Linked DNA regions of Canis lupus familiaris. The protein of the gene in region 1 interacts with the protein of each later gene in a pairwise test. Links are inferred from orthologs where the notes say so. Each region holds a gene or a part of one and is shown on either strand. Other genes may lie near its edges.

What was found. The genes of interacting proteins can lie anywhere in the genome.
Region 2: the proteins of PNMA1 (region 1) and FBXL18 interact in a two-hybrid assay, tested with the Homo sapiens proteins (2 studies listed by BioGRID). The two-hybrid records come from large-scale screens. The link is inferred for Canis lupus familiaris from reciprocal best matches to the Homo sapiens genes PNMA1 and FBXL18.
Region 3: the proteins of PNMA1 (region 1) and RTP5 interact in binary tests that used the Homo sapiens proteins (3 or more experiments, as listed by UniProt). The two-hybrid records come from large-scale screens. The link is inferred for Canis lupus familiaris from reciprocal best matches to the Homo sapiens genes PNMA1 and RTP5.

What each region holds. Positions count from the first base shown.
Region 1 is NC_049229.1:47,275,852-47,281,509, reverse strand, and holds PNMA1 (paraneoplastic antigen Ma1), read left to right. Parts: upstream 1-2,449; 5' UTR 2,450-2,703; coding exon 2,704-3,765; 3' UTR 3,766-4,575; downstream 4,576-5,658.
Region 2 is NC_049227.1:12,590,917-12,596,556, reverse strand, and holds the start of FBXL18 (F-box/LRR-repeat protein 18), read right to left. Parts: upstream 3,733-5,640; 5' UTR 3,601-3,732; coding exon 3,583-3,600; intron 1-3,582. UniProt on the Homo sapiens protein: Substrate-recognition component of the SCF (SKP1-CUL1-F-box protein)-type E3 ubiquitin ligase complex.
Region 3 is NC_049246.1:51,690,777-51,696,464, reverse strand, and holds RTP5 (receptor-transporting protein 5), read right to left. Parts: upstream 3,733-5,688; 5' UTR 3,720-3,732; coding exon 3,487-3,719; intron 1,973-3,486; coding exon 532-1,972; 3' UTR 234-531; downstream 1-233.

The DNA.
Region 1 (5,658 bases):
GTCTTACCCACCCAAGGAGACTGTGCTTCAGCGCACTGTCCTCCATGCCTTCAGCAGCCCCCCTCACAGCTAAGGTACACCCTCATCCCTTCTGACCCCACCACCACCCCTGGCACAGAGGTCATGTGCTGCTTATGTCTAGAGAATCCCCTATATTTAACTGCCTCAGTGACCTAACCTCTTTCTTCTCATGTGCCAGATGTTAAGATGAAGGAGGAATACAACACATACTCAAGCCTCAGCTGTTTAAATATATTTTCACTGGGGCTCTCTTTTTTTTCGAACGGTATTTATTACCAGACTGGCAAGCCTAACTCCTTAGGTTTACAGGAAGTATGCACATTTTTATAAAACAATTGTATGTCCTCCCCATATTTCGCTGTGTTAATGTTTGCCTCTAACAATTTGCAGCTGTTTCACCTTTTCCTCATTTGTCTTTAAGTTGAAGGTCTTGTGTGGAGGGGACAGCACAGGAACAGCCTTGACAGTCTGTAATTATTGTACAAATATTTTAATAGCATATAAATAAGTATATTCCTTTTATTTTGGAAAAAAAAAACATGATCAGACACTGCCTTTTGTGTGTTTGCTGCCTGTGGCACCCTTTTTTAAAAAGACTGTTACATATTAAAATAGTGTATATATATATATATATATATAAATATTACCTCTTTTGCTGTACAGTTGTGATAGACCAGACTGAAGATTTTATTTTTTGTGTGCTTTTTATAAAAAAGAAAAAATAACACACTAAAGTAAATCTTGCGGATGTGATTGTAATGTACCTATGTAACTTATTTACTTTTGAATGTTCTTCTGTATCTTTAAACCTTTTATTAAATAAGGTTTTAAAAATTCAGAGTTGAATGCTGTGTTCTTTTGGGGAAGATTTTCACCATCTGGGATTGACGTTAAGTAGGCCCTGTTTTGCTTGCAGGGGGTTGCTTGACATTTTTGAACCACAAGGAGGATTCTCTTTTGTCAGCTCTTTCTCGATACCAGGACAGGAAAAATAACACACTAGCGTTTTGCCTGGCTACGGATTATTGACTAGATACGGGTTTTTTTTTTTTTTTTTTACAAAACTTTAGACAAGAAAAAGTCTCAACTCAGTGTCTCACACAAAAATATGAACACGGCACGCTTCCAACGTGTTAGTTTGAGGGGATGTATGGAGGGTGCAGAATGCAATCAGGTGGGACAGGGAAGCTGCGGTGCTAAAGACCGTATTTTCCTACCCAGCGGAAGACCAGTGACGGAGGCATTTGCAGCCTTAACTCCACTCCAGAATTATATTATCTTTTAAACAAGGTGCTTTGTTAAAAAAAAAAAAAAAAATTTTTTTTAAGGGCACCTGGGTGGCTCAGTGTTTGACCTCCTGCCTTTGGCTCAGGTCAGGATCCTGGGGTCCTGGGATAGAGCCCCGCATGGGGCTCCCTGCAGGGAACCTGCTTCTCCCTCCGCCTCTGTCTCTGCCCACCCCTCATGAATAAATAAAATCTTTTTTAAAAAATGAAATAAAGGGCAGCCCGGGTGGCTCAGCGGTTTGGCGCCTGCCTTCGGCCCAGGGTGTGCTCCTCGAGTGCCAGGATTGAGTCCCGCGTCGGGCTCCCTGCGTGGAGCCTGCTTCTCCCTCTGCCTGTGTCACTGCCTCTCTTTCTGTGTCTCTCACGAATAAATAAAATCTTTTTTAAGAAATGAAATAAAAACTGGAAAATGTGAAAAAGGAAATGCGCCACCAAAGAGAGCAGTGTCCGGAGCGTCAGGCCAGCGCCTCTGCAACCGCCCCACCCCGCCCCCAGCCCCAACCCCGGGAGCGCGCGGAGCGGGCGGGAGTCCGGGCCGCCGTTGCCATGGCTACGCTCGGGGGCGGGGCGCGGAGGAAGCGGCTCCGCAGCCGGCCCCGCCCCGCACTGCGGCAGTAACGCCTCCGCGGGCTGCGGTGGGACCCCGGCGGCCCCGCTGCGCCACACCGCCGCAGCCCGCCGCAGCCTGCGCGCCGCCGCCGCCTGTGGCCCCGCTTCCCCGTCCTTCGGCGCCTCCGCCGCCCGTGTGCTCGGTCCTCAGCCGCCCTCACCGCCCGGAGCCATCCCTGCGTCTGCAAAGAAGCCGCTGGCGGGCTGGCGTGGCAGCCACCGCCGCGACCTCAGAACAGGCTCTGCCTCCGGGGACCGCACAGCCCTCGTCTGCAGAGCAGCCGCTCCTCGGCCGACTGGAGGCCGGGCTCCGGCCGCGGACGCCGGGATCGCCTCCGAGGGGAGCCCCGAGTGCCGGCGCCCGGCTGCCGGGAGGAGGCGGCCACGCCCCGCGACCACACCCGGGCGCCTCCGGCCCCGCGGCGCAGCCCTCGCCAGCCGCGCTCGCTGCCCGCCTCCTGCGCTGCGACGGGACGCGACCCCCGGCTGCAGGTGGGGGACCCGGGCCGCGGGCCCCGACTGAGGACGCCGGTGGCGGCGGACGCGTGAGGCGACTGCCCGAGCCTCCCGGGGCTTGGCTCCGGGGACCAGCCGGCGGACTGCCTTTGGGGGCCGCGAAGGAAGAGGGCAGGACTCTGGTGTCGTTTGTTAATTGTGATTGCGTCAAGCTTGCCTCCCTCGCGCCTACGGGGGTGGGGGGGTGTCTGCTGCCGCGCTGAGCCCTAGAGCGCAGGGAGCCACAGCCTAATCCGTCTTTGTAGAATCGGGGCCCTCGCTAGTTGGGGAAATGGCGATGACGCTGTTGGAAGACTGGTGCCGGGGGATGGATGTGAACTCCCAGAGAGCCCTGCTGGTCTGGGGGATCCCAGTGAACTGTGATGAGGCTGAAATCGAGGAGACCCTCCAGGCTGCGATGCCCCAGGTGCCCTATCGAGTGCTTGGGAGGATGTTTTGGAGGGAAGAGAATGCGAAAGCAGCCTTGTTAGAGCTCACTGGCGCTGTCGATTACGCCGCGATCCCCAGGGAGATGCCGGGTAAAGGAGGTGTCTGGAAAGTGGTCTTTAAACCCCCGACTTCCGATGCTGAATTTTTAGAAAGGTTGCACCTCTTCCTAGCGAGAGAGGGGTGGACCGTGCAAGATGTTGCCCGCGTCCTTGGGTTTCAGAACCCCACTCCGGCCCCGGGTCCAGATATGCCAGCAGAGATGCTAAACTATATTTTAGATAACGTTATTCAGCCTCTTGTTGAGTCCATATGGTACAAGAAGTTGACGCTGTTCTCGGGGAGGGACATCCCGGGGCCTGGGGAGGAGACCTTTGATCCCTGGCTGGAACACACTAATGAGGTCATAGAGGAGTGGCAGGTGTCTGATGTAGAAAAGAGGCGGCGGTTGATGGAGAGTCTTCGGGGCCCCGCCGCTGATGTCATCCGCATCCTCAAGACGAACAACCCTGCGATAACCACTGCCGAATGCCTGAAGGCGCTTGAGCAGGTGTTTGGGAGCGTCGAGAGCTCTAGGGATGCGCAGGTCAGATTTCTGAACACTTACCAGAACCCGGGAGAAAAGTTATCTGCGTATGTCATTCGTCTGGAGCCTCTTCTGCAGAAGGTGGTGGAGAAGGGGGCCATAGATAAAGATAACGTGAACCAGGCCCGCCTGGAGCAGGTCATTGCCGGGGCCAACCACAGCGGGGCCATCCGGAGGCAGCTGTGGCTGACCGGGGCCGCGGAAGGGCCTGCCCCTAACCTCTTCCAGTTGCTGGTGCAGATCCGCGAGGAGGAGGCCAAGGAGGAGGAGGAGGAGGCGGAGGCCGCCCTCCTGCAGTTAGGCTTGGAGGGGCACTTCTGAGGCCCAGGAAACGGCGACAGTGCACATCTAGATCGCAGCCGCTTACCTTGTCTCCGTGCTCTTACAGATGTGTCCCTAGTGGTAAAGACTTCCGCCATGTGCTGTTTTGGGGGTGGGGGTAGGGAGTCAGGCCTGAGTATTCATGTAACATTAGTACAATCGCGCAAATGAGCACCCTGAGCTGCTACAAGTGAGTCGTACTCGCTGCAATGCCAGGTAAAGACTTGTACACAAGTGCTCAGTGCCAGCTGTCATTGTGGCAATCATCCGTTGTAAAAACCATGTGAATCCCTGACACTTCTCATTGAGATAATTGTGAAATTGCATGTTCAGATGTTTTAGCGTGGGGCCTGGCAAACACAGGAAGTGTTCGGTAAAAATATGAGCCGTTGTTACTAATATTGTGAATAGTTTTTGTGTTTACAGTAAATTGTTCCTAAGTTTTTTCCCTAATTTATATTAATGGAAAGAAATGTGACTCATACTATTTATTCAGCCTTACAAAGCAAATTGTTTTATTTTTCATCTCGAAACATCTGGATCACTTTAATTGAAAAGTATTCTGAGACTATGGAATGGGATGTTAGAAAAATACTGCAATTCTAGAATTGTGTGAATCAATTTTTCTGTGTACAAGACACAGGGAGTGTCTTGTTGCATGGGGAGATTAATAAGAACCAGTTACAGTATCTATTCCCCCATTTCAAATCCTTGTCATTGAATGGTAGTTCTTGTTCATGCTGATTCTAAGTGTTCTAAATTTGAAGTTGTCAAAATACATGTATATGAATAAAAGTATTTAAAAAATTCTATTGTCTTTTTTTTCTGACACATATATAAAATTTCAGTGTAATTAAGCTCTATATTTATTCTCTTAGGAAGATTTCCTGGTGTCACTTAAAAAAAATATAACTTCAGTTACTGTATCTTTAACCTTATAGCATACTATTTGAGTTTGAATTACAGAACCTTTCAATGTATTCAATTTTTGCATGTTTTCTACAAGGCAAATATTAGAAGGCTGAACAGACCTAAGTCAATATTAACTTACTATAAAAAGTTAGGAAATCCTGAAATGGGGCTCAGGATGTTATCTAGTAATGCTTTTTCTCCCCTTTCAAATCCCTTTTCAGGGATCCCTGGGTGGCGCAGCGGTTTGGCGCCTGCCTTTGGCCCAGGGCGGGATCCTGGAGACCCGGGATCGAATCCCACGTCGGGCTCCTGGTGCATGGAGCCTGCTTCTCCCTCTGCCTGTGTCTCTGCCTCTCTCTATCTCTCTCTCTGTGACTATCATAAAAAAAATAAAAACCTGGATTATTTTTTAAAAAATCCCTTTTCAGCTAAAAATGTTTGTTTTACTACAGGAATAATTTCTCATACCTGTTTAAAATGAATGTTTCTGATTTATAGCAGCCATTTTATTTTTTTTTTGTCAAAATTCATTTTTATTAATAGAAAATACTTATTCCAGTTTCAGTTGTTATACTTGAAGTTGCTAATAAAAAAAAAAGAATTTAAAATAATCATCCTGTTTCGACTAAGACAATGAAGCTGTAGCTTAAAAAAAATTCACGATTTTGGGATCCCTGGGTGGCGCAGCGGTTTCGCGCCTGCCTTTGGTCCAGGGCGCGATCCTGGAGACGCGGGATCGAATCCCACGTCGGGCTCCCAGTGCATGGAGCCTGCTTCTCCCTCTGCCTGTGTCTCTGTGACTCTCTCTCTCTCTCTGTGACTATCATAAATTTAAAAAAAAAAAAAAATTCACGATTTGCTCATAAAGGTCTTTCAGAATTTGTTCTTAAAGTTTCTGGAACTTTCCTGTCAAGTACAGGAGTTACTGAGCTACATGAGGAAGTCTCTCTGAGACAACCAATGAGAAGTTAAGCAGTTGTC
Region 2 (5,640 bases), on another chromosome or scaffold:
AACAAAACAGAATAAACACTAAATGGAAAAAAAAATGAGGGCAGCCCGGGTGGCCCAGTGGTTTAGCGCCGTCTGCAGCCTGGGGTGTGATCCTGGGGGGAGACCTGGGATCGAGTCCCACGTCGGGCTCCCTGCATGGAGCCTGCTTCTCTGCCTGTGTCTCTGCCTCTCTCTCTCTCTCTCTCTCTCTCTCTGTATCTCTCATGAATAAATAAATAAAATATTTCTTTTTAAAAAAAAAAAAAGGAAAAAAAATGATCTTTTTATATAAGTGGGCAATTGGGCAGCCAGGGTGGCTCAGCAGTTTAGCGCCGCCTTCAGCCCAGGGCCTGATCCTGGAGATCTGGGATCCAGTCCCACATCGGGCTCCCAGCATGGAGCCTGCTTCTCCCTCTGCCTGTGTCTCTGTGTGTCTGCCTCTCTCTCTCTCTCTCATAAATAAATAAAATCTTTTAAAATAAATAAATAAATAAGTGGGCAGTGGGTACAACAGAAAGGCTCCTTACAGGGCACTTTGACGATACAAGATTGTTAGCTACGGTATATTTCACATTATAAAAACTTTGTTAAATCACAGAGTCAGTGTGAAGAGGTGCACAATTTTGTGGGTTTGCACTCTGCATTCTGTTCCACTTCTTAGGTTTTGGCTTCTCTAGTTGGCCATTTCTGGAATGTGCCCTGCCTCAGGCCTCCAGGCCTTTCAGAACTTTGGCTCAAGGGCTTAAACACAGTGAAGCCCTCCCAGCATCAGCCAGACAGGCTTAACTCACCTTCATCCAGCCCCTCTGCTGCAGGACCAAGGACCGTCCTACACTCCCACCTCATCAGATGAACTGTCACTGTCGTGGTTTGCCTGATTGCTTATCTCCTCACTAAGCCAAGGACAGCTGCTAAACAGGAATCACTTTTTAATTTCCAAGAGAAAGCAGCACTGAACCAGGTGAGTCAACAGATCACCACTTCACAATCATTTGAAGCATTACAAAAAAAGCAGACCCCCACTCCCAGAAACTCCGGGAGTAACCCTGAGTATCTACATTTTTTTTTTTTTAAGATTTTATTTATTTATTCATGAGAGACACAGAGAGAGAGAGAGAGAGGCAGAGACACAGGCAGAGAAAGAAGCAAGCTCCATGCAGGGAGCCTGACATGGGACTCGATCCCGGGTCTCCAGGATCACACCCTGGGCTGAAAGAGGCACTAAACCTCTGAGCCACCCAGGATGCCCGAGTATCTACATTTTAAAGTCAGTAATGGAGATGCCTGGGTGGCTCAGTGGTTGAGAGTCTGCCTTTGGCTCAGGGCCTGATCCCGGGTTCCCAGGATCAAGTCCAGCATCAGGCTCTTTGCAATGGAGACTGCTTCTCCTCCCTCTGCCTGTGTCTCTGCCTCTTTCTGTGTCTGTCATGAATAAATACATAAAATCTTTAAAATAAATAAAGTCAGTAATGACTTTCAAAATCAAACCACCTCATTCTGGAATCCTATAGTGGAGACAGTTGCACAGCCTTGTGAATGTATTTTTTAAAACCACTTTGGGGTGACATATGGGTGGTTCAGTGATTGAGCATCTGCCTTTGGCTCAGGTCGTGATCCCAGGATCAAGTTCCACATCACGCTCCCCACAAGGAGCCTGCTTCTTCCTCTACCTATATCTGTGCCTGTCTCTCTGTGTCTCTCATAAATAAATATATAAAATCTTTTTTAAAAATAAAAAGTAAAAAATAAAAACACTTTGGGGCATCTAGTCCGTGGAGCATGCAACGCTTGATCTCAGGGTTGTGAGTTCAAGCCCCACGTTAGGCATAAAATTTACTTTAAACACACACTTTAGGGCAGCCCAGGTGGCTCAGCGGTTTAGCGCTGTCTTCAGCCCGGGGCATGATCCTGGAGACCTGGGATCGAGTCCCATGTCAGGCTCCCTGCTTGGAGCCTGCTTCTCCCTCTACCTGTGTCTCTGCCCCTCTTTCTCTCTCTCGTGTGTGTCTCTCATGAATAAATAAATTTTTAAAAAAATCTTTAAAAATAAAAAAATAAACACACACTTTAAAACTGAACTTTATGGGGGCAGCCCCGGTGGCGCAGCGGTTTGGCACCACCTGCAGCCCAGGGTGTGATCCTGGAGACCCGGGATCGAGTCCCACATCGGGCTCCGTGCATGGAGCCTGCTTCTCCCTCTGCCTGTGTGTCTCTGCCTCTCTCTCTCTCTCTCTCTCTCTCTCTCTCTCTGTGTCTCTCATGAATAAATAAATAAAATATTTTTTAAAAAACTGAACTTTATGGTGTGCAAACTATACACCAATAAATAGAAAACAGAACAATCCAGAAGGGTCCTTGATCTCCACATCCAGGGTAGAATGAGGTGCCCATGAAGGAACAAGAGGCCTCTAGCCAGGTCACTCACATATGCTTCAAGGAACAGAGAGCCCTTTGTACCAGGACCCCCTAAGAGCAAGGAACCAGTGCCCCAGCTCCTACAAGTACACACGATTACCTGGAATCTGCTAACACAGTCAGGCTGCCCCATAACTATTCCTTGAAGAGCCTCAGCTTTCCTACCCTTCAATCCTACCACCGTCTGCAGGTGTGTCCCACATCCTCCCTCTCAATCAAGGGGCCACTTCTAAGCCAAACTCACTTCAAATGAAGAGGAACTATCTGCAATCCTGGCCACATCCATTTCGAAGGAAACACTGGAACCTCTGATTCCCCTTCCCCATAGCACAGGTGAGCCCCTAAGACAGGAAATGCACTCCAGGGTCCAAGGCCCAGATGCTAAACACACACACAGGTGCACACAAGTACACAAAGATAGGCAGTAAGCAACAAATGCAAAGACACGGGTCAGAGTCCGGGCCCCCCATACCCTGGTCTGCAGATAAAATACCTTGCACCACATCACAGGGACTCGGACCCAGACTTGCAGAGCACCGAGGAAAGGAATTCCAGGGTAAACCAGAAGTTCCCCAGGTGAAATGGCTTTTCCTCCATTACCCTCCCCAGTCACACAACCAGAGGAAAGTGGGCTGAAACTGAGCATTCAGAGATAGAGGATGGGGTACTGAGTGGGCATGGAAGACGGAGGTCCCATAGGTCCAAGGGCTGAACCCAGGTACAGGGGGCGTGAGAAAGGGGCCTGAGAGGTCTACGGGAGACTGGAAACTCTGGGGGCGCAGAAGCGGGGGAAGAACCCTGGCGATCACGCCTGCGGGCTGGCAAAGGGACGGAAAACCCAAGGGGGGAGAGAACTTGAGCCTTCGCAACAGGATGAGGACCTAGGGGGCGGGGCGGGGCCAGGATAGGGATGCGAAGGACCCAGCGAGGCCGAGGCCAGGGTCGGAGCAGGAAGGACCAAACCTGGCCAACGCCAGGGTTGGAGTGGACAGGGCCAAGGCGGCTGCGGTGGGGGGTCGAGGTCAGGATGGGAAGCATAGAGCCAGGCTGCGGTCGGGACAGGAAGGATGGAGCGGGTTAGCGGGCCGGATGGAAAGGACGCAAAAGGGACCGGGGCGGGATGGGAAGGCCCGAGCGGAGCCAAAGCCGCGGGGCAGGAAGGAGAGCGGAGAGAGGCGCCGGCCGTACCTCCTCGGAGCTGGCCATGGTGAAAGCGGGCGGGGCCGCGGCTGCCAGAGCCGCAGCCCCAGGGCCTCCCCTGGCCCGCCAGGGATGCTCAAAGCCGGCGCGTCCGCGGCTCCACAGAGACCCCGGTAGGGGGCGGGGGCCTCGGCCTCCTGCCACTTCCGGCGCCTGCCGCTACGTACTTCCGCCCGCCAACCGGCGTGCCCCGGGGGGGCCGCCATGTTGGGTGCGGCGCTGTTCTCTGGGGCCCTGTTAGGGATGCGGGTTGAGCCCAGGAGCACTACGTCAGCCGCAGCGTCCTCTCGGGCCCGGGCTCTCCCTCGTCTGCTCTCTGCCTGCTACTTTCCAGCCACAATGTCCCCCTGCCGGCCCGGCACTCTCTTGCCTCCGGGCCTTGGCATTCGCGTCCCCATGCCTGCAAGTGTCCACTCGTGGGACCACCGTGCGGAAAACCACATCTCCTCCTCCCCTAAACTTGCGTCTTATCTTGTATTTCTCCCCATAGCTCTTTGCAGTATCTGACGTCCCGTGTCTTTTTGTTTCTTTCTTTTTTTATTTTTTTCGTTTGTTTTGTTGTCCTCTTGCTGCGCTCAGCCACGCACTAGTAAAAATCAGTGGGGAACACTTGGGTCAGAACCGGTGCCGAGTCCTGAGTGACCCTAGGCATGTAGATCTTTGCGCTGGGGGTGGGGGTGTTTCCCCACAGTTGTGGAGGCCAGAAGTAGGGAATGAAGATGTGACTGGGCCATGTTCCAATGGCTCTAAGGAAGAATCCCCTCTTGCTCTTCCGGGCTCTGGGTGGTGGTCAGCAATCCTTGGAGTCCCTTGGTTTGCAGCTGCATCACTCACAAGTTCTGCTCTCTCCCTAGAGGACCCACCCTCTTCATATGTGTGCCCGCGAACATGTGTGCACATAGCCTTTCTTTAAAAGACACCAGTCTTGGGCAGCCCCGGGTGGCTCAGGGTTGAGGGCCTCCTTCAGCCCGGGGTGTGATCCTGGAGACCCAGGATCGAGTCCCACGTCAGGCTCCCTGCATGGAGCCTGCCCCCCCCCCCCCCGCCCCCCGTCTCTCTTGAATAAATATTATAAATAAACAAACACACACCAGTCTTGGGGCACCTGGGTGGCTCAGTGGTTGAGCATCTGCCTTTGGCTCAGGTTGTGATTCTGGGGTCCTGGGTTGGAGTCCTGCATCAGGCTCCCCACAGGGAGCCTGTGTCTCCTGTGTGTCTCTCATGAATAAATAAAAATCTTTAAAAAGAAACAAAAGACACCAGTCTTGTTGAATTTAATACCCACCTTAATCTAAGATCTTAACTAGTGACATGCAAAGAGCTTGTTTCCAAATAAGGTCACATTCCAAGGTTCTGGGCAGACATAAATCTTTGGGGGACACTTATTCAACCTAGTACATCAGGTTTCATACGCTCTCCCTGGGCCTCATTTTCCTCCCACCTCATTGGGTTGAGCCTGTTAGTAGCAAGAGGCCTTTGATGAGCTCCTGTGGGTGGACCTTCCTGGGGGCAGGCACAGTCCTTGCCTCAAAGAGTTTATGGTTTAGTCAACAGTTAAATACAACTTGAAGCGTAATAAGCATGACTGTTAATGGAGGTACCATTGTTTACCATTGAAGCATTGACAATGGAGCCCAACTATGACAGAGGCAGGCATCTGGAATTTCACAGAGGCCCAGGTTTCTCCTCCAGTCCTCCTAACTCCTGACCCATTCCTTCTTTTCCCCTACAGTCTGTAATCAAGTATGTTTTTCACTATGGCAGAGGTGTTTTATTTTCTCTCCCTTGGGGAAGAGGCTGCTTTTGGGCAAACAGACTTGAGCGATCGATTGTAGAAAGGCCCCACAGCGTCCACTTAGCTGAACACAGGCCCATCAGGTGACGCAGCTCAAAATATCCGTAGGCACTAACTCACCAATGGGCTACTTACAACCCAGCACAGTTACCAATAAAGGGCAAATGCCATATGTTGCCATATGTAATTTTATTTATTCATTTATGAGAGACACAGAGATATCAGCAGAGGAAGAAGCAGGCTCCCTGTGC
Region 3 (5,688 bases), on another chromosome or scaffold:
TGTGGCTGGTGCCCTCCAGGCAGCGGGTGCTGAGAAGCCAGAGTGGTTCAGGGGCGTCCTGTCAGTCACACCAGGCCTGGAACCCAGCGGCCCCCAGGGGAAGACGTGTGTGCAACCCGCCCCACGGGGACCGATGGGGACAGTGACCCGCCCTCCACTCCCTCCCACCTCTGAACCTTCTCCAGGGTGCTGGCGTCCACACAGCCCAAACACACTGTGATTTGTTTTCCTTTGAACTTTTATTTTATTAGGATTGTAACACTCATACAGACCGGCACCGGGCACACGGGCGGGCAGCTTGGCGGATAATCACGGAGTGAACATCCAAGACGCCACAACTCACACCAAGAGACAACACACACAGAAGCAGGAGATGGAGGGGAAGGCTGAGGCCCACCCTCGGGCGGGCAGGGGTGCCGGGGGTCCCGGGGTGCGGGCAGGGGTGGGGGGGTCCACTCTCCGCGGCCTGGGCAGCCCTGCTGGAGGGGTGCAGCAGGGACCCGCAGGGGGCGTCAGGCTTCGCGCGGGCTGTCAAGGGCTGAACTTGTACAGGTACATGATCCAGAGGATGCACACGGTCATGGACACCCAGATCCACACCTCCTCATAGGGGTCGAAGCGCGGCGCGCAGCAGCCGTCGTCGCAGCACAAGTCCTCCTCCCAGCTGGGCTGGGAGCCAGACCTGCTGAGCCGGGCCCTCGGCGTCCTCCTCTTCTTGTAGCCATGGGGGGCCAGGCCGCTGCTCTGGCGGCCGCTGGCAACCGAGCCGGAGCCCTTGCATCTGATGATGTCGAAGACCGAGAAGGGGATGGTGACAGAGCCCTCGCTGATGGTGACGGGCCTACGGGTGCGGGTCCCCGGAAGGGGTTGCCCGCCAGCCGCAGCAGGGCCATTGCCGCCACCCTCTTTCTCTAGGTCTTGGGTGCTTTTGTCTTCACCAGTGAAGATGAAGGGGAAGGTGACGGAGCCGTTGATGTCGGGGAAGTCCTTGTCTCGGATCATGTCGGCCAGAGACGAGGGGAAGGTGACAGAGCCCTCTCCGTCATCCGTGAGCCCGATGATATAGGACACAGGCTGCGGGTTGCTGTCGGCGCTCTCAGAGGCGGTGTCCTCGTCACTGTCGGAGGGGCTGGTGATGGAGCCTTGGCCCTTGAAGATGAAGCCCTTGAGCTGGAAGGGCTTGATGCTGCTGATGAGCAGCCCTCTGCCGTGGAAGATGGGGCACCGGATGTTTACCAGGAGGCCTCTGGCCTTGGACGCAGCTGAGGAACTGGCCGGCAAGGACATGCAGCCCTTGGCGATGACCAGCGACTCACAGGGGTCCACTGCGGGGCGAGAGCCCTGCCCCGGAGTCACCCGGCCCTTGTCCCTTCCCACGTGCACAAGGGAGAAGGGGACGGTGACGATCTCATCATCTTGCCTGAAGAAGTTGCTGCTCTCAGAAATCGGGTTCCTGATGAAGTCGGACACGGAGAGGGGGATGGTGATGGAGTTGGGGGTGTAGCCCCGGGAGCGGTCAACCACGGGCCCGCTGCCCAAGGTGAGCAGCTGCTTGCCGGCCTCCAAGGCATCGGCGCTGCCGCCCCCGTACAAGGTGTACCGGCCCTTAATGGTAGTGGGGCTCTTGACCTCGGGCCCCCAGGCCGGGTCTGGGGGCTTCTGGAAGAAGCAGACCCCCAGGTCGCAGGCCTCGCAGCGCTCGCCGAAGCAGATCTCAGGGCACTGGTCTGCGCTGAGGCTCTCCCCGTAGCACTTCTGCAGGATGAACAGGACCAGCTTGTTGAGGAAGAGCCGGATATTCAGGAGGCTCACCTGGCAGTCGGCCCGGATGCCCGGCGGGCACAGGCGGCACCGCTGGCCCCAGATGCGCATCTTCACCAGCCCCAGCCGGCTGTCCTCGTCCAGGCACATGTGGAAGAGGATGTGCACGTGTGCCGAGGACCAGCCCCACTGGCAGCGGCCACACTGCAGCCTGCGGGCAAGAAGGGCGGCAGTGAGTGGAGGGTGGCGGCGGCCCCCCGCTCAGCCGGCCCCTCGGGGGCTCCGAACCCTGACACCCCTGCCCGCCGCGCATCATCTGAAAGGCTGAAAAGCAAATTCCTTTTTGTCCGATTGGCACCCAAACCCCACGCAAGGGCCCAGCCCGGCCTGACACCTGTGGGGGGGGGGGGCGTCGCTGCACCTGCTGCTTATCAGCTCTGTGACCCAGGCTTCACTGCCCTGCGGACACGTCACCAAGACTCAAAGGCAGCCGGTGGGGGGGGGCAGGGTCCACATGGCTAAGCTGTGCGGACTCACGGGGCGGGGGAGGTCCCGGGAGGAAGAGCTCCATCCCCAGGGAGAGAAGCTGACGTAAAGGGGGCAGGGGGCTCTCAGGAGAGCTGGGGTGGGCTGGGACCGGTGAGCTCCTTTGACGGGGCGGCCCCAGCTGCAAACGTGGGAGCGGGAGAGCCGCTCACCCCAGGCCGTGTGCCCCAGGGCCGGGCAGGTGGGCCCGTCTCCAAGCCCCCAAGGTCAGGGCCCGGCGACCACACTCCGGGCGTCCCCCAGCGGCGCCCTCCCCTGGAGCTTTCTGCGGTGGTGAGGGTGGCAACGTCGGGCAGGCCCCGCCTCTGCGGCAGCCACAGGTGCCCGGGAGCTGACCTGTCAACCGCATTTCGATGTGATCAGGCTCCCGGAGGCCCCGTGGCTGTTGTGCCTTGTGCCCCCCTCCACCGTGTCCAGCTGCAGGACAGCAGAGAGCCCTGCCCCGGCCACTGAAGGCGGTGTTCTCTCCTGCTGGGCGGTGGGAGCCATCCCGTGATTTGGGGCGCTTCCACACACACCCCGGGCTGCTCACTCACCCACCCCCCGCCACGGGGAGCTGAGGGGCCCATGTCACAGGGTGGCTGCCGGAGAGTCCCCGCGCTGACCTGCCGGTGGGCCACCTCCCCCACTGACCCCCTCCCAGCTGGCCCCCGGAGGGTGGGGGAACGCCTGGTGGGGTGGGGCCCCCGCGGGTCTGGCCCATCCCCGCCACTGTCATCATGACAATGAGGAGCGGGGCCCCTGCTGGCCCCCACCCAGGTCATACAGAGCCTCTCCACCCCGGGCCTGTGCCCCTTGGGCCCCTCTGCAGGGAGGGGTGTGAGCCCGGCAGCCGCCCCTCCCCTGCTCTGGCCGGCAGTGCTACCATGGAAACCAGGAGATGCTGCAGTGAGCGAACAGGCCCTTCACTTCACGTGTGGGTGGCATCGTCGCCCCCCAGCCTCTGCTCCCCCCCGCAGGACCCCGACTGCAGTGGCCAGCACCAGGGGACTGCACAGAGGTTGTCCCGGGGCCCCCACCTCCTGGAGAGGAGGGAACACCCGGCCCGGCTCCCTGCTGGGGTAGGTGGGGGGGGACCCCTCTTCCCAGCCCACAGGGCCCTACCACACCAGCCCGGCTTGGGGACCAAGCAGCTCAGCCCTCCCCCAGCCCCCCCAGGAGCCCCCCACCCCAGCGCACCTGGAGAGCCCCCTCAGCCGATACTGAAAATCGCCACTCTCCATGACCCCGGAGGCCAGGTTCTCCTCAGGGACCAGCTCCCAGGTGTCCTGGGGCTTCCTCTTGGCCATGAGCTGGGCCAGGGTGCTGGCCCACGCGTCCACCCCGTCCATGCTGGCACTTGGCTCCGCACTGCGGTCTGACAGCTGCGCCGGCTCCGCTCCGAGGGAGCCCTGGGATCCCACATCCTGCATCCTCCCCAGCCAATCGCTGCCTTGACAACCGCCCAGTCTCCATGGCAACCGGGTTCGTCCCCCAGAAATGAGAACTGGGCCTTGTTCCCCGTCCCCTTGAATATTTCTTATTACGCAGGAGATATATTTTCATTTTAGAAAAAACCAGAAACAGATAAACACAAAGGAGAAACTGATACAGAAAAAAGTCATACATGATCCTCCCGGTGGCGCTGCGACTGCGCGTCTCCCCAGACACGCGTGTGTGAATTTTCACAAACAGGAAATCACAGCGAGCGTGTTTTCGGACAGCCTGGCCTCACTGGCCCACACGTCGCAGGCAGCGTTGCGCACCGGTTGGCGCCTGAGCGCGGCATCTTGCGGCCCAGCCTGCGGCCCTGCCTGCACCCCACGCGCCCCGCGCTCCTTCTTTGCCGTCAGGGACGACGCCAGGAGCGACGTTATTGAACACAAATTGTTGCAGATTTTCCCACGGTGGTTTTTTCTCCCAAACCATATGTTGGCTGGAGCCGCCAGACATGTGCGTGGACGTGGCTAAAGCGCGAGGCGCAGCCTCACGGGTGCAGTTAGGACCTGGCCCAGCCGCTGGGGAAGGGCCTCCCGGGCTGTGCGCCCTGCCTCGATGCGCCCCCGCCACGGGAGGTGCCTCCCCCTGCTGCTGCCTTGGGCTTTGTGTCAAGGACCCTGCGTCGTGTGTGGGGCGCACGGCAGGGTCCGCCCTCCCTGGACGCATCCCCGCAGCAGCCGCCCCCTGCGCGCCCACGCCACTCTGTCCCCCACGTGGGGGTCCCTGCGCCCCCCATGCCGTCCTCAGGTCCAGGTCTCGGTGCGCCACCCCCCCACACACTGCGACTGCCAGCCTCCCCAGCCCCACCCCTGCCTCATGAGGGCCCCTCCCTCGCCCTCCTGCCTCACCCCTCTGGGGGTCCGGGCGCCCTGCTCCACCCCTGCTGCAGGAAGTGAGCCAGGGAGCCCAGGGCCCTGCCCAGCACCGCCTTGCCCTGGCGCCCCAGCCCCCCAGCCTACCCCCTGAGCCGCCACGGCCCCTCTGTCCCGCCCCGGGGACACGCTCCTCACTCCTCCACGGCGGCAGATTCTCTGCCCATGTCCGTCCAGCCTGCTGATGGGCTGATGTTCTTTTCCTGTTTTGCGTTTCTGAGACACCTGTCTGCCTCGAAGCGAGGAGCGATCGTGGGATAGGGGAGGAAATTGTGGGGCTGTGCTCCTGGGAAGGCTCCTTCCTGCGGGGCCAGCGAGCTGGGGAGGACCACGGCCCCCGCGCTGTCCTCTACATCTGGGCATTGATGCAGATGTGACAACTGGCACTCCCGCAGCCCCCTTACACCACAAGGCGAACCAGCAGATGGAAGCCATGTGCGCAGGAAGAAGGCAAGCCTGGACCCTGGATGACTCGGAGTCACTGTACCACCTCGGACACCTACCTCTGGATGTATTGTTCCCGAGAGAAGCGAGCCTCCAGCAGCCACTGTTAGCAAAGACCCTGTACTCTGGTTCATCGGCCATTCTGACCGCCATGCTGGGGCTGTGCCCACGGCCCCGGGTCGTGCCGGTTGGTCTGGGGCCACAGCGTGGAGGCGGGCATGCGTGCGGTCCTGCTCACGTGCCCGCACAGGGCTTCAAGGGGACGCCCTGGCCTGCTGTGCGGAGCACCCACCGAGCCCTTCCCCTCCACGTGGCCTCCCTGGGCCCAGCGCCCTGACGCCCTCCTCACACTTTTGGGTGTGGGAGCCGTGCTCTGCCCGGGGCCGTGCCACAGCCCATCCACCTGCCCTACTGGGCAGCCCCCTGTGCTCGGAGACCCCAGCCTGCCTCTGAGTTCAGGGAAGAGTCTTGGTATGTGACTGGCCTCCACCACCCAAAAATGATCTTTGTGGTTAAGAAACTTGCTCACAGGGACACCTGGGTGGCTCAGGGGTCTAGCGTCTGCCTTTGGCTCAGGTCATGATCC